Linked DNA regions of Stegostoma tigrinum. The protein of the gene in region 2 purifies or fractionates together with the protein of the main gene of each other region. This does not show direct contact. Links are inferred from orthologs where the notes say so. Each region holds a gene or a part of one and is shown on either strand. Other genes may lie near its edges.

What was found.
Region 1: the proteins of mcrip2 (region 2) and atxn2 purify together in Homo sapiens (co-immunoprecipitation; 3 studies listed by BioGRID and IntAct, with this or other methods). This does not show direct contact. The link is inferred for Stegostoma tigrinum from reciprocal best matches to the Homo sapiens genes MCRIP2 and ATXN2.

The regions. Positions count from the first base shown.
Region 1 is NC_081379.1:23,198,102-23,208,990, forward strand, and holds the start of atxn2 (ataxin-2), read left to right. Parts: upstream 1-6,603; 5' UTR 6,604-6,896; coding exon 6,897-6,997; intron 6,998-10,889. UniProt on the Homo sapiens protein: Involved in EGFR trafficking, acting as negative regulator of endocytic EGFR internalization at the plasma membrane.
Region 2 is NC_081376.1:31,593,115-31,603,568, forward strand, and holds the start of mcrip2 (MAPK regulated corepressor interacting protein 2), read right to left. Parts: upstream 3,984-10,454; 5' UTR 3,785-3,983; coding exon 3,733-3,784; intron 3,647-3,732; coding exon 3,586-3,646; intron 1-3,585.

The DNA.
Region 1 (10,889 bases), on a different chromosome or scaffold from region 2:
TTGATGGGTATTGTGTAAATTGCCAAGCAGGTATAGTCAAGATTTTTTTTCCTGTTCAAGAAATCCTTGTTATCTATCTTTAGGGACTATTAGTGCTCACCATTCTTAATTACACTGCACAAGAAGGCAGTTTACTAAACTTTTTTTAAGGGTGTTCTGCAACAAATTTCTCTCAAGAAAAATGCCGGTGTAAATTATCTGCAGCAAAACCATGGTCTCTCAATGGAGGTATTAATATAACATTTTGTAAAAACATCCTACACATTTTTTTGAGAGCTGTTCAATCTTGAAGTGCAAAATGATGCATTTTGGGTCAAACTCTTCAATTTGGATCACTGTATTTTAATTTTACATAGTGTCTAATTTGGTCGATTTGATCTAATTTCAATAAACTGAGCAATAATCCTGTCATAAATGTGAATAAGGCAGTAGAACATTAATTTTGTCTGTTCAGTATGAATAAGACTTTGTTGAAGCTTTTCTTGTGAGATACTATTAAAGGATTGTTTTAAACAGAATAAAAATTGTTCCACAGTAAATGTACCTTTAAGTTGTCTTCATTCCACTTCATGCTCCTTCATTATTTTTCACCTTTCGTGCTGAGCAATAGTTCCAAAAGCACTAATTTCTCATTACCAGCAGGATCTTCAACTGGGTGAAAGAATTGTTATCAAATCAAATCTAATTCTAATCACTTTTTATGCATTCACGTGAAGCAGAAATTTTACTTTCACCCCTATTGCCAGGTGTAATATTTCAGCTGAGTTCTGGCAATATAGAATGGTCTTAGTGTGGACTTTACTAGTTTCAAAATCTCCCTACCCCCCAGCCTCATCCCATGACCAACCCATCCTCTCATCCCCACCTCCTTGACCTGACAAAACCTGTCCATCTGCTCTCCTGCCTATCTGCTCTTCCCACCTAACTGACCAACCGCCACTTTTGCCTACTTGCGCTCACCTATTACCATCCCACCTACCTTGCCAAGCCCCACACCTCTCTGTATTTATTTCAGAGTTCCCTTCCCCCTCCCCCATTTCTGAAGAAGGGTCCTGACCTGAAACATCAGCTTTTTTGCTCCTCTGATGCTGCCTGGCCTGCTGTGAGTCCACACTGTGTTATCCTAGACTGTTGTGGGCATACTGTTATTCACTGTGTATGCAGGACAAAGCAGCCATTTAATTGACATCACATCCGCAAGCATCCAGTGCCGACACCCAGTAGTAGCAGCAGTGTGTACTATCTACAAGATGTGCTGCAGAAATTTACCAAAGATTCTTAGACAGTCGGTTCCAAATCCACAGACACTTCCAACTAGAAGACAAGGGCAGCAAGTACATATGAACACCACTAGCTGCCCTCCAAGCTACTTACCATGCTGACTTGGAAATATATTGCCATTCCTTTATTCTTGCTGGATCAAAATCCTGTAATTCCTTCAAGGGCAGTGTTTCAACCTACAGCATGTGGACTCCGGCGGTTCAAGGACGCACCTCATAACCACCTTATCAAAAGCAACTAGGGATGGGCAATAAATGTTGTCCAGCCCGTGATACCCACATCCCATTAGTGAGTAAAAAATTTCCCCCTTGCAAGATCCATGAGATAATTGCGATCATAAGGACTTGAATTGGAAAGGAATAAAATAACACAAAATTGTGTTTAGCGTTTGTCAATGTTTCTGGAGAGAAATAAATTCATGTCCTTCAAGAATTCCATATCTTTGTTTCTGGAATTTTTGTTCCCTCCCCCACAATATAATCTGTTACAGGCATGCCAGAACTTTATTAAATAAAAAAGTTAGTCTGGCTGTCAGATTGTCACTGCCATTGGGTGTGTAATTGAGTAGTTGCATTCAGCAGATTATAGCTTGGGCTTTCAGTAGATTTGGGCAGTGAACGTATATTTGTGGAAAGTTGAATGGAAATGTAACGTTGCCTATTTCTACGCATCTCTCAGCTCATCTGCTCAAATGTTGATCTATACTTTAATCTTAGATTTGACTATTAAATGCTTTCTTGATTGGCGCATTCCAGGTGGAAGACCGTAAATGGGATCTTAACCAAAATCCTGCTGTTTGTAAACTTACTCCTAACAAGTCCTCTTGACCTATCACCTTGTGTATTGACTTGTCTCTTGGTCTAGCAAGGCCTATTTAAAATTCACATCTTGTTTTCAAATAGCTCTGTAGCTTGCCCCTCATCCCTGTAATCTCTTCTGGCCTATCAAACTTCACGAGTGCGCATCTCCAGTTCTGTCTGTGTGCATCATTAATTTGGATCATTTCACAATTATCTGCCTTGCATTCAACTGTCTAGACCCAAGTTCTGGAATTTCTTCTCTAAACTGTCAGCCTTGCTAGCTCTCATATGGGATGACTTTTAAAAATACCTTTTTGCCCAAGCTTCATCATTTGCCCTAATATCTCTCTGCAGTTTAGTGTCTGGTTTTATTTAGTATTACTTGAGAAACACTTTGAGATGCCTTATTGTGCTAAAGACTATGGAAATGCAAGCTGTTAGTGTTAAATATGCTTGCATTTTATTTCAGGCTTAATAAAAAGTGGTTCCATATATGATTTTTGGATAGAACTACTGGTAATGATTTATTTCAATTTGATAAGAAGGATCTCATTTTTAATGCATTGATGTAATTCTTTGATCAAGTTCAACTGTATGAAACAAAATTCTGAACTAACATAAATAATTCATGTCCTCAAACTAGTATCACGAGCAAATTACTTAATTCCAACAAATCAAATTAGTTATGCTTATTTGGCTTGCTGTGGAATTATGAATTCCCCACTGCAACTATAAAAATTTTTATGCTTCCAGAATATGGATGGTAAACAATAATCGAAGTTTTAAAACAATTAGGCATTAATACAAATATGTCAAATAACTTTGTTAAGAAAACATCTTCACAGATGCTGAAAGAGCTGAGTATTTCTCGTACTCTCTTTCTATTATAGATTGTGTGATTGAGTGGCAGCTGAGGCAAATAAAAATGGAAACACAGAACTTTGTAGGCTTCAAGCTAGAAATGCGTTCCATTAGAGGTTTCTAGTCTCAAATACAAACCACATTTTTTCCCCAGTCCCCTAAATTGTTGGTATACTCATCCCACGTTGTTGGCAGTTCCTGCTGAATAAATGGGAGCTTAAGGTTAGAAATTATTAAAGTCAATATTACAGACTGTTTCTTGAATTTATGTTAGCCTATTCAACTGAAGCAGATAGGGCAGGGTGGAAGAAAGATACTGAATTGGCAAGCATATGAGATTTGCAAATGCATACAATATGGAGGTATCCCTTAATCTGTGTACCATTCTAGGTTGGACAAGGTATACATAAACTAAAAGGAGTATTTGGAGCTGTAATCTCATTGAATGGTAGAGCAGTCTTGATGGGTGAATTGTGGAAACAACCTGATAGGCTAAATGGCCTACTTCAGCTCATATCTTTTGGTGGTGTGAGAATGAAAAGTACTAGAGAAGAATTGTAGGTGATAGGAATGTTAAAGAATAAAGCTGTGTCATTGAGTAATGATCCATTCAGAAAAAGGAAAGGAAGACAAGATATGTTACATGAGAGATTACTGCAAGACGGGCAGATTAAGGTCGCCCATTGAAAGCAGGAATTGGCACAGTTGAAGATTAAGCTTAAAAGTTCCCATCAGTGGGATGGGACTGGGGACACAAACGGAATAGAAAAGACTTGGTTGAGGATCCTGACTACCATGGTTGAAGGGGTTGAGAATCCTCAAATGGGATTTTATTTCTGAATCATCTGTAAATTAACTGGAGTAAGTGGGACAGAGAAACAGGCGAAGGGGAAATAGAGATTTTTGACTTGCTGGCTGAGCTGGCTTGTTCTTGTTTAGACGTTTCATCAACATGTTAGGTGACATTGTCAGTGGAGCCTCCAATGAAGCTTCATCGGTGACTCCATTGATGATGTCACCTAGCATGGTGATGAAACATCTGAATGAGAACAAGCCAGCTTGGCAAGCAAGTCAATGACCTCCCCCACAACCTGAGCTACAGATTTTTGGTAAAACTTTGAAGGGGAAGTAGAGTTGCGAAATGAGCAGAAGGGTGATCTGGACAGAAGTAGGATTTATTATTAGTATGGTTTAGAAGGGGTGGACGCTAGGAAGTTATTTCCGTTAGGCGGGGAGACTAGGACCCGTGGGCACAGCCTTAAAATTAGAGGGGGTAAATTTAAAACTGAAATGAGACGACATTTCTTCAGCCAGAGAGTGGTGGGCTTGTGGAATTCATTGCCAGGGAGTGCAGTGGAGGCCGGGACGTTGGATGCCTTCAAGGCAGAGATCGACAAATTCTTGATCTCAGAAGGAATCAAGGGCTACAGGGGGAGAGTGCAGGGAAGTGGAGTTGAAATGCCCATCAGCCATGATTTAAATGGCGGAGTGGACTTGATGGGCTGAATGGCCTTACTTCCACTCCTATGTCTTATGGTCTTACGGATTTAGTGGGCTTTCATTTCTGGAGGTAGCAAGCAGTCCAGGAAGGGAAGATCAAAAATGGAGAGTATACAGTTCAAGTAATTGAAAACTTGAAACAATGAATTAAATATTCTAAATTGGGGCGAGTGATAGTCATCACTTTAAGAGGAAACGAGGTCAGAGGAGAACCTGAGAAGAGAGCAAGGACATGTACACATTTCCTGCAACAATATTATGAATACATTTATTTATTTTCTGTAAATCTGTTTTTAACAGTTTTGTACAAACATTTTAAGCATTTGTAATCGGCACTTTGAAGTAACAACATGGTTATTAAAATAATTTGTTAAAAAAACTTAATTACGTGGCTGGTCCTGGATCAAACTGATTGCTCTTGTCTTGTAACCCTCTATCATAAACTAAATTCAATCACTTAAAACTTATGTTTAGCAGTAAAAAAAAAGCTATGGAAGTTGCTAACTTCTAATAACGACCTAACTGATGGCTCATTAACTATTTTAGACCAATATCAATCAACCATTCCAAAACTAAAATCAAATCTGGAAAAAAACCAGAAAATTATACAAATACTCAGGAGGTCATACAGAATCTGCAGAGAGAGAAAAAGATTTATGGTTCAGATAAATGACATTTTATGAGAATGATTATCTGCTTTACTTGACCTATACGTGTATAAATTTCATGGCGGATTATATATTCTCCTGGATTAGTTTTGCCCGCCATGCAGTTGAATGGAACACGCCCAATAAATACAACCTTTTGATATCAACCGTGTCCCGACAATAGACTAATTTGAATAGGCTGTAAATTCATTGTAAGTTCTCAAATCTTTCTAATGCATCAAATTAGCATGATTATAACTAAGGTGTGAAGAACAGGCTTCAATGCGACTGTCATCTTGGAATACGAGGTACACTTGCAAAGTAGAGGTGTGATGCACAAAACTAATAGTAGATATGAGCTTTTCCCTTTGTTGATGTATAAATGTTGGTCCGAACAATTACCTACTTTCCTTGTACCAATTTATCCATGTCTGTTTACAATTACAATTTGCCTATTTACCTTCAGTCGTAGCACTCTTGCCTTTGAGCCAAGAGGTTTTGTCTTCTTTTCTCACTGCAGAGCTCCACACAGAAAAACCTGACACTGCAGCAGTGCAGAAAGAATCCTACATTGTCAAATATGCTACCTTTCAGATACAAGAAACGAAGGCTCCATGTGCCTTTTCAGGGTAATTGTAAAATATCTCACGGTGCTATTTTGAAGCAAAGCATGTGTTATTCTGGTTAGTCTAGCAACTATTTCACCCTCATCATAATATATACATATTAATTTAGTTGAGAGATAACAGGCCCGAAACGTTAACTTTCCCGCTCCTGATGCCGTTTGGCCTGCTGTGGGGATCCAGCTCCACACCTTGTTACATAATTTAGTTATTTTGTTTGCAACAATTTGCTGTGCTTAGATGGCTGCCATTTATTCGATAGCATAACATTTCATGCTTTGCGATGTCCTATTATGAAAGGTGCTATGTAAATACAAGTTGGGTGTGTTCTCAGTGAGACTAGGAGGAAATGTTGACCTTTCCTAAGAAAGAGCTGAGCAGGGTGCAATGTCCAAAGATCAACATCACAAGTAAAAATGAACTCAATTCAACCAAGCTGAGATAGTGATCACTACTCCGGCCATCTGAGAGCTTGTCCCTCACCCGCAAAATAAACCTCCGCGCTCGTCGACGAGGTCAGAAGTCCGAAAGAACAGGACCGGAGAGCAGTGGGGGGAATGAGGGCAAAGCCAAACACAGTAACAATAAAGGGGGAGGGGGGGGAAGTCCCGTCGTAAAACCACTCGTTCCCGTCCATCTCCTGGCCGTTCTTTCAGCAGCGTCGAGTCCGATGATGCAGAGCCAACTTACTTTGTGGGTGGGGGAGGGGTGATCGACCGCATTGCCGGTGTGGTTTGGGGGTAGGGGAAGGTGCGAATGCGCCGGTCGGTGGGTGCGCGCGCACACGCCGGCGTGCCCGAATCCTGTTTGTCTGCCCCTCCCCTCAAACCTCCCCCCCCCTCCGCCACCCCGACCCCTCTCTGCCCCTCCCCTCCCCCCCCCCCCCATTCTCGTCCGTTCACCGTGTTGTTGGTGGCGGCCGAAGCTTTGCGATAGCAACGGGCGTTGCGGCGCTAACTGACTTTGAGGCCTGGACAGGCGATACGGAGGCCGCATCCGTACTCTTGTCCCTGACGACGTTTTCGTATTCCTCGGCGGGGGTGGGGAGAAGGGGAGGGGGGGAGGGTTTCACTGGTGTTGTGGATGCTGGGCCGGACCTTTTCTGTTCAAGGGTTTGAAGTGACTGGAAGCGGCATCTCTCTCCCACCCCTTGCCCTCCCCCATCACCATCATCGCCCACCATCATGTCCATGAAGCAGCCCAACAGCCGAAAGCCCAGCGGCGGCATCGGGACTGGTGGAGCAGCAGCTGGAGTTGGCGGAGGAGGGAGACAGTCAGGCGGCAGGTAATGAACAGGCTCTGTGTCCCCCCCCCTCTTTCCCCTCTCTGTGTCCCCCCCCCTCTTTCCCCTCTCTGTGTCCCCCCCCCTCTTTCCCCTCTCTGTGTCCCCCCCCCTCTTTCCCCTCTCTGTGTCCCCCCCCCTCTTTCCCCTCTCTGTGTCCCCCCCCCTCTTTCCCCTCTCTGTGTCCCCCCCTCTTTCCCCTCTCTGTCCCCCCCCCTCTTTCCCCTCTCTGTCCCCCCCCTCTTTCTCTATTGGTCCAACTTTAGCCCGAGGCTCTGGAGGCGGCCTTCTGTCACTGATGGGCCCGCCTTTCCCCTTCAATATGCCGGGCCCCGCGTTACCGAGAAACGAAACGGTAGTGTCCAGGCCTTGCGCTCAGGCCTCATCTTCCAGCGGGTTAATGCCGCTATGAGGATGCGGCCTACACGCCAGAAACCATAGACATCTGTATTCGGGCGGCTTTTAAAATACAGCCATTAAGCAGATGTAGATTAACCAATGCTTAAAGAGGATACATTCCTTTAGGGAAATCCGTTAGGTGCGATACAGCGTCAGTGTTCAAAGTTTCTTAGACCTTTACATTTTCTTCAATCTCAACAAAAGTATCTTTATGAAACGGAACTTGTTCAAGGTTTAAACCATTGTCAATGAATATTCGTTAGACACGAACATATCGAAATGCAGAACAATTATTACAATAATCTTAAATTAAGATCATACTGAGAATTTCAAAGTTACTTGTAATTCGTCAATAATGCAGAGTTATGATGTGACATTAAAATCAGAACAATTGTATTCAAAAGAACAATGTCTTGTATGTTACATGACGATTTAAATAACCGTACTGTTTTAGTGAGATTGACTGTGCGTGAGGAATATTAAGCTTTCTACAAAAATTTGTTCCTTGCAATGAATTTGTGCTGTACGTTTTGTGACAGTGCTGTACATACAATGCGAACATTTTACAGAATATTATGAAATTAAATATATTTATCCTCTAATAGTTAAAATTGAGCTGAAGATGTACTTCAGTGGTACTCTGAAAAACTAAGTTTGTGTATGCTTCAGCCCATGTGTTGCAACAGAGTTGATGACTGGCATTTGAATCATATTTACATTGGTTTTTATCTCCTTATTACTAAATGATTTAACCCTTTACTCCATTAATGATACCAGTGTTTTTGACTCATAATAATTATATAGTATTTTGAAGTTAATTATGAAAGTTCCAAGTATTTTGTTCCTTACAACTATAATTATATACTTATCCTCTCTGGAATGATGAGCTTTCCTCTTCCCAACAGTGGCAGATATTTTGTTAGATTTGTGTTTAGTTTGTACTGATCGGTTTGACTTGTTTATTTTTGAAATTTGTGTTTGGCATTGTATTGATTTCATTGCTTTTGTTCAAAGATGTGCAGGTTAGGTGGATTAGCCATGGGAAATACAGGGTTACAGGGATCGGGGTGAGTAGGTCTGTGTCAGATGCTTTTTGAATGCTCGTTGTGGACTTGATGGGCTGAATAACCTCTCTTAGTGTAAGGATTTTATGATCGTGTCAATGTGAATGAGTTTAATTATACATGCCAAAACAAGAGGAACTGTTGTTTCTTAAGCCTTTCCTCAAATATTTCTCTTCCATTGGGGAAAAAACACTTTCTCACTTTTAAGGACGTAATACAAATAGCTTTGCTTCAAATAATTGTCTTGGAAGATTTTTGGCTCTGTTTTCACAAGACAGATAATTTTAAAATTTAAATCATCGGACATGTAACCAAGGTGGAGTCGGAAATAACTCAAAGCTTTTATAGTAATTTTCCTTTTATATGTTAAAATGAATAGTTGCCTGATTTGACACCAGTTCACAATTCATCTTCAATCTGCCCATCTCCTGTGTGATTTGCTTGATCTTTCAACATCTCCTTGGACCACATGAGATATCGTAGGTTTAAAAGCCCCTAATCCCCATATCAAGCCTTTTGGAGCTTTTCAACTCAAACTACTGTTTGAAAAATCATATGTACTTGGCAAATCAGCGCTTATTCACTTATATGTTTAGGCATTTGCTTGCAGCCAGGAGAAAGTGAGTGAGGTAAAAACTTAGATTTTTTTCCTGCTTTTCACAACGTCAGAATGCCTAAAACATTACAGACCTAATGAAATACTCTTTCTTTAAATTGTAGCTACTGTAATGTAACAAAATGTGACAACCAATTTGTTCACTGCCAAAGAAACAAGATAAATTATGAAGCATATGTATTGGGCAGGACACTGAAGAACTTCCCTGCCTATCGTCTTGTATGGAGAACAGCTGGGTTTTTTAAATTCCAATAATTCAGTGCACACTTTATTTAGGTCAGCCTTCTATGGGGCCAGAAGTCTGGAGTTTACCTTGAATTTGTTATTTCCTGGCTGAGAAGTCTGTAACTTACCATTGAATAAAGGCTATCAGTTAGTTTTTCAATTTGGTTTCTCTGACACAATGTAACAAGGTGAAAAATAGTATCTTGCTAATTTCCAGGACAGATCTTTTTCTCTTGCATCCTCAAAACCCTTTCTCTGTTTGTCCTAACTCCGTTACCTTACAACTGCTCATTCGAGATTGGAAATGACTGTGAAAGTCATTCTCATGTTGGTCTTTTCAATCACGGCAAGAAAATGTCTTAAAACCTACTTGTTTAATTTGAGCCAAAATGTATGATAATCCACTTTGGTATACTGTCCTTGTGGATTTATGTTTGGATGAGGTGTGGCTGTTTGTTCACTCTAGTTTCACAGAATCCCTGATTGAAGCATAACAGATTCTACATTTATTTGCTATTTATTCGATAGTAAATGAACAACAAGGCCTTTTTTATGAATCTGGGCTACAGTTGTGGACCTTGATCTGAGAGGTGCATAAATTTGGTCACAAGTTCCTAATCTATACTGGATGACCTGCCCTTTCTGACTGGCAAGTGCCAGCAGTGATCCTTTGTCAAATCTGTTGTGTATCCATTGGTCTATTTCACTCAACAGTTTTTAAGTGAATGCAGTGAACATTTATGTATTGTTGGACTGCCATTCAGATCATCTATCTTCAACAGCAGTTTGGAAAATGTACACTTCTATTTTATACCTTCCTCTTCAAATTTTCCAACTTTGAAACAGTTTTTTATGATTTGCTTGCATGCATTGTCTGGATTGCATATTTTGCAAACATCATGCGATTTCCTGATTAGAAAGTGTTTACCTAATCTTTTACATCACAGTCACAGCATTTAGTTGGTTGTAAAGAAATTTAGGAACTCCTGAGGTCATGAAAGGCTGTAAATTTTTTTTCCCTGTCTTAAACAATTTTGCTAGTAAAGCTATGGTTCTTAGATTTAATGTTTATTATAATTATACTGAGAGGGAGAAGCAGTACTAGTTGTGACTATATATGAAAGCTGCTTTTGGGGCTGGGCCTGGATGAATTTTGAAATAAAATGGTTTGGAATCATAGAAATGGGCAGAGGGTTCTTTATCCTTTGCATTTCTCTTGGGTTTTAATACAGACTCTTCATCAGGTTGTCTGGTGGCTGGTCATGTTTATAGTGGACCCTACAGTCTACTTTGTTTCTAGATTATGACCAACTTTGACAAGCATCTTCCAAAGTGTTTGTATTCAAGGTGAATGTGTTGTCTAGTTGACTTCGCTCTTCATAATCAATGTGCACTAAATGCCATGTTGATCCAGTTGTCAGCAATATGGTAAGGATCCTGTAGTATTGGTCAGGAGACAAATGTAGGGCTTGGGTTAGCCTTCGAATTGCTCTTCACTTGGTTACACTCAGTCATAGCCTAGTTAAACTAACTGTATAAGATTAATCCAGAAGCTGTGGAATTAAATTTGATGGCAGCTTTTCTCCTCCAT
Region 2 (10,454 bases):
CTAACTCGCACAGGCAAAGAAATATCATACATTTATGTAAACCTTTTGATTTTACCTGTTACAATCAATAGAATTAAAGTAACGTGCAGAGAGGTGAGGGAAATAAGTTTACAATTTTATCCATTTCAAACAACACTGTCAAACAAAGCTTTTGTTTTCATTTGCATTTGGGACCATGTTAATTTTCAAGAGTTAAAATGGGATCAGTACTTCTTCTTGTTCCTACCAAAATATGTCACTTTTTAACCAATTGTGAGCAGCTATTCAAATGCAAGAGGAAAGCATGTAAATGGCAGGACCTTTAAGAGCACTGATATACAGAGGAATCTTGGGATGCGAGTCCATAGCTCCCCAAAAGTGACAACACAAGTGGATAAGGTGATACAAAAAAAAAGGTGTGCAAGTTACTTGCCCTCAACGGTCAGGGTATTGAGCATAAAAGTTGACAAATCCTGTAGCAGCTGTATAAAATCTTTGACCACATTTGGAGTATTGTGTGCAGTCTTGGTCAGCACACTAATTGGAAGGATGTGGAGACTTTGGGCTGGGTACAAAAGAGGTTTCCCAGGATGTTGACCGGATTGGAGTGAATTAGCTCTAAACAGAGGTTGGACAAACCTGTTTTTGCTGAAGTGTTAAAACCTGGGGGGCAATCTGATAGAAGTAGCTAAAATAATGAGACACTTGGATAGGGTGGATAGTTGGAAATGTTTTTCCCATTGTGGAAATAACAAATACTGGGCAGGGGAGGGGGATGGAATTAGTTTAGAATGGCATCATGGTCAGTGCAGACATGGTGGGCTGAAGGGCCTGTTCTTGTGCGGTACCTCTATGCTCTCAGCAGTTCAGGCCTTCTGGAATATTTAAGTTAGGAATGCATGCACAGTTACCCTCCTTCCTTTGTGGCCCCAACTTGGGACATCAGTGCACCCCAAAATAGGAATTCTCCTCAGCCTCTCCTCAGCTGTAGGAAAAAGGAATGACGCTGCTTGAAAAAGACCCAAGGCAGCTGTGACAGACACCACTGTAAACGCCAAGTTAACCTCTCTCCAGGAATGCAGATCCTTTACTGGCAGAACAAAGTGAAATTCCATAGTAAATCTACCCTGTGGATTACCAAGGAAATACAGGTAATTTCTCCATCAGGACATCTATGAAATCCTGACAGCACAGACAAGTTGGGTTGAAGGGGATGTTTGTGTTTTATATGACTCTGACTCTAGGAAGGAGATGTACTGACCCAATAAGGAAGGAGGGCTGAAACTTTGCAGGGAATTGAAGAGAAGAAAAGGAGTTGTGGTCTGAATCAGGACACTAGCTTTACTGGACTTGGCGTCAAACCTTCTGAAATTGCACACTAAAGGAAAACAAACTAAAAGCTGGAACAAAACTTTAGAATACTGACAGGCACGAAGTTAACAGTTAGATTGTCTTTCAGATAAAAGTCCATTCAACAAATATCCCCTAACCTTTGGTCTATGTTTCAGATGTACACAGGCCCCTTCAGTCATTCTGGTACTTTTGTGTTGCGTTCTTTAAAACAGCAAGGAGATGCCTAGCAGACAGACCAAACATAAGGGGGCTCTGAATAACATAAAGCAAAACCCAGATTCAAGTCCTACCAGAAACATGTAATAACATCTCTAAACAGGTTATTTAGAAAATAACTGCTCCTAATTTCTGCTCATAAGATGCTGCTTGGCCTGCTGTGTTCATCCAGGTCTACACCTTGTTATCTCGGATTCTCCAGCATCTGCAGTTCCTATTATCTCTCATTTAGAAAATATAATTTTTTTGAAGAATACAAACACAATAAAAAATACCCTTTCTCTCGCACACACTCCTATGGTTTGACAGAAATGGGTGGTAATTGCTCAACATCTTGGTTTACTTTTAGGAAAACATTAAATCTGTCTCTATTCAGCACATATCTATCAGTGAAACCCAAACCTTAACCCTGGCAAACTAACAGCTGCTGTCTGCTTGACCTGAATACAGACTACAGGCAGTTATATCCACGAGCAACACAGAGGTATCCTCACTTGACCATGTTAGTAATGTGAGGTACTGCTGCCGAGATCAAGAGCCTGAATCTGAAACAGATCAATAGGGGTCTTTATATGAGTAGAGTACAGCTGACAGTAGACAAGCAGACTTCCAGAGTCAGCAAAGTTTTCCACTTCAAATATCATAACGGGCACAAGACCTCCAACAGTATGGCCATGGAAATGTTGGATTAAGGGTGATATTTCATGGTCTATAAGTGTTATTCAGCCATCATCGAAACTGGAATTCATTAAAAACTAAAAAGACCAACATAACCAGTATGTGGGTAAAAGGTAAAGGACACATAATGGCATGCAGTTGTCAATGTCCCGAGTCAGGAAATCTTAAGTGTTGAGTAATTCTTTATCACCGACAAGCAGTTCAATGATAAGGACACAACTGAAAAGATAAAGTTGTGAAGTACTTTAAATGTTATAACAGCCTTGGGAAATAGGATATCGTATTTTCATATTGGGCTCAAAGTCAAAAACCTGCAGTTTGTTCCTACTCCACAATTGGGTAGCTAGCTTGGTCTTTACCCCGTTCTTGTTCTCTCAGTTGAAGCATACACTGTGCAGTAACATGTTGCAATCCTCTATTCACTAGTAAGTGTTTGCCTACGAGCAAAACCAATCATGAAGGTCAAATTATTCACATTATACAACGCATGCTATTCCACACTACACACACCAGGCACACTGCTCCACATTATACAGACATGCAGCATAGGGCTCTACACACTACGATTACACTAATCCATGGTAAGCAACACATAACAATCATACTGTTGCATGTTAAGCACTTGCACCAAAAATACAATTCCACATTTTAATAACACACTGACACAGTACCTTGGTCTAAATGTTAAAATACACAGAACACACAGCTCCACGTAATTTAACACAATACACATAAAGTATTGTCCCACAATACACACCCAACCAACACATTGTCCCATATAATGCAGTGCTCACATGCAACATACTGCTCTACATTGTACTGGTTGTGTGTTGTAAATTGTGGAGCAGAATACTGGCTTATGTGCACAGCATCAGGTGGCAGTGTGCTGAGTGTGGGTTGTCTTTTATCCTGCACCATGCAACATACACTTGAGCACAGTGACTTACATTACAACACACTGTCCCACAGAATACTGCTCCACCTTATAACACACGAGCACATGCTCCTATATTGTACAAGAGATACCGCTCGAATATTATGCAACAGACACCCTCCTATGTTATATAAGCCACACCAAACACAGTGGCCCACATTATAACACACAGCCCCACAGAGTACTACACATTGAGCACAGTGCTACATTGTAACACACAGAGAGTACTCTGTCCCAGATTGTAACACAAACCCAGAGCGCTACCTAATCTGTGTCGGTCAATGATCTCTACGGGACAGAGCGAGAAGATAAGGCCGGCTCCTGTGGCGAGCTCCCCAGCCTAAATGTCACCTTCACCGCAAGGTCACAGAGCTGGACTGCCAGACACCGCCTGCCCGAGTCCCCACCCGAACTCCTCAACTTACCTCCCCACCGGTTTCAGCTTGAGGTCACAACCGGACTTGGCTTCGATCTGCTGGGATGGACCTGCGTTAGAGAGAGAGAGAGAGTGTGAGAAGGAGCCAAAAGTGTGCGCTGGGCCGAGTGGGGCGCTGCGCGGCGCTGCCTCCTACCCGTCCTCCGCTGTGTAGCCAGCCTACTGGGTCCCCGGGTAATGGTGTACATGGTCAGGAACAACCTCTCGGTATGCAGCACCGGCACAGTCCGGTCCGGGACACAGTCACCGCCTCCCCAGCTGAAAGGGATCCGCCTCCCTGATGCCCAGCCCTACAGTGTACTCCAGGAAAGTCTCAGCCACAACCGAGAAACACACAGCCCAAACTCCCGGAGTCCATCCAATCCAATCCAACTCCAACTGGATCCAACTTCCAGGATCACACAACTCCAACCTCACCCACCAGCTGGGATCGCCCAACCTAACGCATTAATCTGGGAAATCCCACCCAGAACCACTGAATTCGACCCAATAAAATAAAAAAAATTATGGTATAAAGGTAACACGTTTGGACGTAGAAGATTGGTTGGCTGGCGGAGAATGGAAAGTATGCATATAGGTCATAGAGATGAACAGCATGGAAACAGTCCCTTTGGTCCAACTCATCCATGCTGACCACATATCTAAATTAATCTAGTCCTATGTGCCAGCATTTGACCCGTATCCCTCGAATCCCATCTTATTCATCTACACATCCAGATGTCTTTTAAATGTTGTAATGTACCTGCCTCCACCATTTCCTGTGGCAGATAGGGTGGCGTGTGTATGGAACTATGTGTGAAAAAGTTGCCCCATTGTCACAGAGTAGAATAATTGAATCCCTACAGTGCAGAAAGAGGCTATTTGGCCCATCAAGTCAGCACTCACTCACTAAAGAACATCTCATCCAGACCTCTCCCCTGCCCAAACCCATCCCCATATCCCAGAATGGGGTTTTTACCATGGCTAACACAGCAAACTTGCACATCTCTGGACACTACAGGGCCCTTTTGTTTGGCATGGCCATGTGACACAGGGGTCTGTGCTGGACCCTCAACCATTTGCAAAACAGATAGGAAAGTAAGTTCTGTAAAAGACCTGACAGAACAAGTTGAAGAGCTGGATGAACACAGGAGGCCAAGCAGCATCAGAGGAGCAGGAAAGCTGAAGTTTTGGGCCTCGACCCTGCTGTGTTCATCCAGCTCTACACCTTGTTATCTCAGATTCTCCAGCATCTGCCGTTCCTACTATCCCTGTAAAAGACCTAACAAGTTTTTAGATGATTATGGAGCAAAGGAGCAAAATATCCAGCAGATGGAGTATAATGTGGGAAAATGTGAAATCATTAACTGTTAGGAAAGAAGAAAAAGGAAAGTATTTCTTACCTAGAGAATGACTGCAGAATTTAGGCTTACACAAGGGTCTAGGTGTTCTACTGCATGAGAACAAAACTTTGCTATGCAGGTATGGCACATAACCAAAGACTAATTGGGTCCTTTGCTTATTACAGGAGGAATTGAACATAAAGATGAGAATATTATATTTCAGTAAAGCAGAACACTAATGAGATCACATCTTAAATACTGGAATGCAATTTTGATTTCCTTTGTCAAGGATGAAAATACATTGGAGGTGGTTTAGAGGAAGTTTATTAGGTGATACCTGGACTAAGCAGATTGTTTTATGAGGATACGTTGGTCAGACTGCTTCAACTGAAGTTTAAAAGAGTGAAGACTGAAGTATATTTGATCCTGAAAGATCGTAACAAGGTGGACAGGATTTTCTTCTTGAGAATGACCTCAGAACTAGGGGACACAGTTTTCAAATTAGGGGTGACCTATTAAGACCTAGTTTAGGAGATTTATTTTCTGGGCTTTGGAACTCCATCTCAGAAGATTGGAAGATTTTAAGGCAAAGGGAAATAGAATTTTGTTTGTTGAGAGAATCAAAACTTACTGGGGTAGAAACAAATCATCAATGATCTTATTGAATGGTGGAGCAAGCTCAAGGGGCTGAATGACCTAATTCTGCTTCTATTTTGTATGTTCATATGTTTTTAACCCAGTAACCTAGACCACCTAACTCAGCCAAATTTGTGGGAGCATTTAACTGGTCACTGTCAGATCATTCAATCGAGCCACCAACTGCAACTGAACATCTGTGCGCTATCCAATCAACATAGAGTCATAGCGTCTTACAGCACAGAAATAGAACCTACAGTCCAACCATTGATAGTTCATAGAATCCGTCATTGGATTCCTGCAGTATGGAAAAAGGCTATTCGGCCCAACAAGTTCACATGACTCTCCAAAGAGCATCCCACCCAAACTCACCCATCCCTGCAACCACACATCTCCCATGGCTAATCCACATAAAGTACACATTCCCAGACACTATAGGCAATTTAGCATGGCCAATCCACCTAACCTGCATGTCTCTGGACTGCCACGCTGAACATAATCCCAAACTAATCTAGTCCCAACTGCCTGTTCCTGGCCCTTATCCCTCCAAACCTTCCCTATACATGTACTTCTCTAAATGTCTTTTAAAAGTTGTAACTGTGCCTGCATCCTTTACTTCCTCAGAAAGTTCATAGAACATAGAACATAGAACAGTACAGCACAGAACAGGCCTTTCAGCCCACAATGTTGTGCCGACCATTGATCCTCATGTATGCACCCTCAAATTTCTGTGACCATATGCATGTCCAGCAGTCTCTTAAATGACCCCAATGACCTTGCTTCCACAACTGCTGCTGGCAACGCATTCCATGCTCTCACAACTCTCTGTGTAAAGAACCCACCTCTGACATCCCCTCTATACTTTCCACCAACCAGCTTAAAACTATGACCCCTCGTGCTAGCCATTTCTGCCCTGGGAAATAGTCTCTGGCTATCAACTCTATCTATGCCTCTCATTATCTTGTATACCTCAATTAAGTCCCCTCTCCTCCTCCTTTTCTCCAATGAAAAGAGACCAAGCTCAGTCAACCTCTCTTCATAAGATAAGCCCTCCAGTCCAGGCAGCATCCTGGTAAACCTCCTCTGAACCCTCTCCAAAGCATCCACATCTTTCCTATAATACGGCGACCAGAACTGGACGCAGTATTCCAAGTGCGGTCTAACCAAAGCTTTATAGAGCTGCAACAAGATCTCACCACTCTTAAACTCAATCCCCCTGTTAATGAAAGCCAAAACACCATATGCTTTCTTAACAACCCTGTCCACTTGGGTGGCCATTTTAAGGGATCTATGTATCTGCACACCAAGATCCCTCTGTTCCTCCACACTGCCAAGAATCCTATTCTTAATCCTGTACTCAGCTTTCAAATTCGACCTTCCAAAATGCATCACCTCGCATTTATCCAGGTTGAACTCCACCTGCCACCTCTCAGCCCATCTCTGCATCCTGTCAATGTCCCGCTGCAGCCTACAACAGCCCTCTATACTGTCAACGACACCTCCGACCTTTGTGTCGTCTGCAAACTTGCTGACCCATCCTTCAATCCCCTCATCCAAGTCATTAATAAAAATTACAAACAGTAGAGGCCCAAGGACAGAGCCCTGTGGAACACCACTCACCACTGACTTCCAGGCAGAATATTTTCCTTCTACTACCACTCGCTGTCTTCTGTTGGCCAGCCAATTCTGTATTCAAGCAGCTAAGTTCCCCTGTATCCCATTCCTCCTGATCTTCTGAATGAGCCTACCATGGGGAACCTCATCAAATGCCTTACTGAAGTCCATATACAGCACATCCACAGCTCGACCCTCGTCAACTTTTCTAGTCACATCCTCAAAAAACTCGATAAGGTTTGTGAGGCATGACCTACCCCTCACAAAGCCGTGTTGACTGTATTTGATCAAGCCATGCTCCTCCAGATGGTCATAAATCCTATCCCTCAGAATCCTTTCTAACACCTTGCAGACGACAGACGTGAGACTTACTGGTCTGTAATTGCCGGGGATTTCCCTATTTCCTTTCTTAAAGAGAGGAATTACATTTGCCTCTCTCCAGTCCTCAGGTACGACTCCAGTGGAGAGCGAGGATGCAAAGATCTTCACAAGTGGCGAAGCAATTTCATTTCTCGCTTCCCAAAGCAGCCGAGGACAAATCTGGTCCGGGCCTAGCGACTTGTCAATCTTAATGTTTGACAAAATTTTCAGCACATCAGCTTCCTCTATCTCTATCCATTCCAGCATGCACACCTGCTCTTCAAAGGTTTCATTCACTACAAAGTTTGTTTCTTTCGTAAAGACAGAAGCAAAAAACTCATTAAGGGCTTCCCCTACCTCCTCAGACTCCACACACAAGTTCCCTATGCTATCCCTGATCGGCCCTACTCTTTCTTTGACCATTCTCTTATTCCTCACATAAGTGTAAGATGCCTTTGTGTTCTCCCTAATCCGTTCTGCCAAGCCTTTCTCGTGCCCCCTCCTGGCTCTCCTCAGACCTTTTTTTGAGCTCCTTCCTTGCCTGCGAGTAATCCTCTCTAGCTGAACTTGACCCTAGCTTCCTCCACCTTATGTAAGCTACCTTCTTCCTTTTCACAAGAAGCTCCACCGCTCTCGTCATCCAAGGTTCCTTTATCTTACCCCTTCTTGCCTATCTCAGAGGGACATATTTACTCATCACTCGCAACAACTGTTCCTTAAACAGTCTCCACATGTCTATAGTTCCCTTACCATGGAACAATTGCTCCCAGTCCATGCTTCCTAACTTGTGTCTAATCGCGTCATAGTTTCCTCTTCCCCAATTAAATATCCTCCCATTTTGCCTAATCCTCTCCTTCTCCATAGCTACGTAGAATGTCATTCCACATATTCTGAGTAAAAAAAAATCCCTCATATCTTTTTTAAAATCTCTCTATTTTCACCTTAAAAAAGTACCTTGTGGTCTCAAAATCCCCCACTTTAGGCAAAAGACACCTATTGACACAGTAACCCTATCTATTTTATTATGATTTTATAATGACCGTCATGCCCCACAAGCTCTAAAATAAGGAACATGTGTGATTACTTGAAAATATTTACACCATCTGTAATTATTTAAAATGTTTCAAAAGTACTTATGAGTTTATATCACTTATAAGGGTATAAATTATAATTTTTGAATAACAATGCTTGATAGTGCAGGACATTTGAAAAGTGAGGCAATTTAGAGCAAAGACGAAAGGGCAGTGATTACTTCAGAAATTAGCTCTGATAGGCTGAAGCATTGCATGGAGAATGCAGTGGGAACTATAGGCCCTCTGCGCTTTCGTATAACTCAAAAATCGTACAAGGTTTGAACATATCGTAAATGAGCTACATCAGTGACAACTCACCGGCAAAGACTCCTTGCAAGGTCCACCTTTGTACCAAGAAGACTCTGACTGTACCCATCAACAAAGCTCAGTGAATTTAATCCAACATACCCCATAAAGTTCACCAGAGCAGGGTAATGTATGTACTTTTCAGGCAATCAAACTAGTTTGGGGAAATTTTAACTGAATTTATTGTTCAGGAGTTACTTCTTTAAATTGCGAGTGTTTTAATTAAACTACATTTGAATTATAGTCCATTGTTTGTCTCATACAGTATCAGTGCCCGAGTCAACACATTTTATGAGTAACAAACTGTTTGAGGTATCTGTGTAACATATTTCACAGGCAACACAGTAAATGGAGCATTGATGTACAGAGGTACCTTGGGTACAAGTCCATAGCTCTCTGAAAGCAACAACACAAGTGAACAACATGGTAAAGATGTACAGCACACTTGCCTTCAGTGGTTAGGGCATTGATTATAAAGGTGGCAAGTCATCTTATGGTTGTATAAAACTTCACTTAGGCCACATTTGGAATTTTTTTTAGTCACCACCCTATAAGATGGATTTGGAGGCTTTGGAGAAAGTGCAAAAGAGGTTTACCTGAGATGCTGCTGGGCCTGCTGTGTTCATCCAGCCTCACATTTTATTTACCAGGATATTGCCTGAATTGGCGTATTTTGACCATAAGGAGAGGTTAGACAACTTGGATTATTTTTGCTAGCGCATTAGAGGCTGAGGGAGTGACCGGATAGAAGTATATAAAATTATGAGAGGTACGTATAAGGTGGATAGTCAGGGTTTTTTCCTCAGGGTGGAAATGTCAAATACTAGGGGCATTGGTTTAAGTTGAAAGGGGGAAGCTTAAAGAAGATATGAAGGAATTTCTTTTACACAGAAAGTGGTAAATGCTTGGAACATGCTACTGGAACAAGTGGTAGAAGCAGATACAATAGCATCATTTAAGAGGCATTTAGACAGACACATTAACAATCCAGGAATAGATGGCATTACGGTTGGTGCAGACATGATGGTCCAAAGGGTCTGTTCCTGTGCTGTACTGTTGTATATTCTAGTAAGCTCACTGATTATCTTCACTTGTCATTGCTAATTATGTGGAAAATAAAGCATTGTTTTGGCCTGATAACTGTTAGTGGGAAATACTACTCACATTGCCACTGTATGATAACAATAGAGAAAGATTTGCTTAAGCTGTTCAAATTTTTCAGGAACCTTACTTTTCTAGAGTAATTTGAGGTAAACTGGGCATTTTGGAATCTGAAAGTGATTGCCCAGTTGTTACCCAATACATCGTGAATATTGGTCTGATTAGGATAGGCATTCTCCCACAAGATAGCTTTGATGTGCACTTTCTCTGCATCACCTTGCAAAGTGAGCAAATGTTGATAAGGCCAATCTTATATTCCATGGAGGTATACAAATCTGGTACAAAATTATTTCTGGTTTGATTTTCCATTTTTTCTGTTTTTTTCCAGTACATACTGGTTATACCAGTTAGATATATTTGTGATTTTAATCCAGTTTCAACTTATT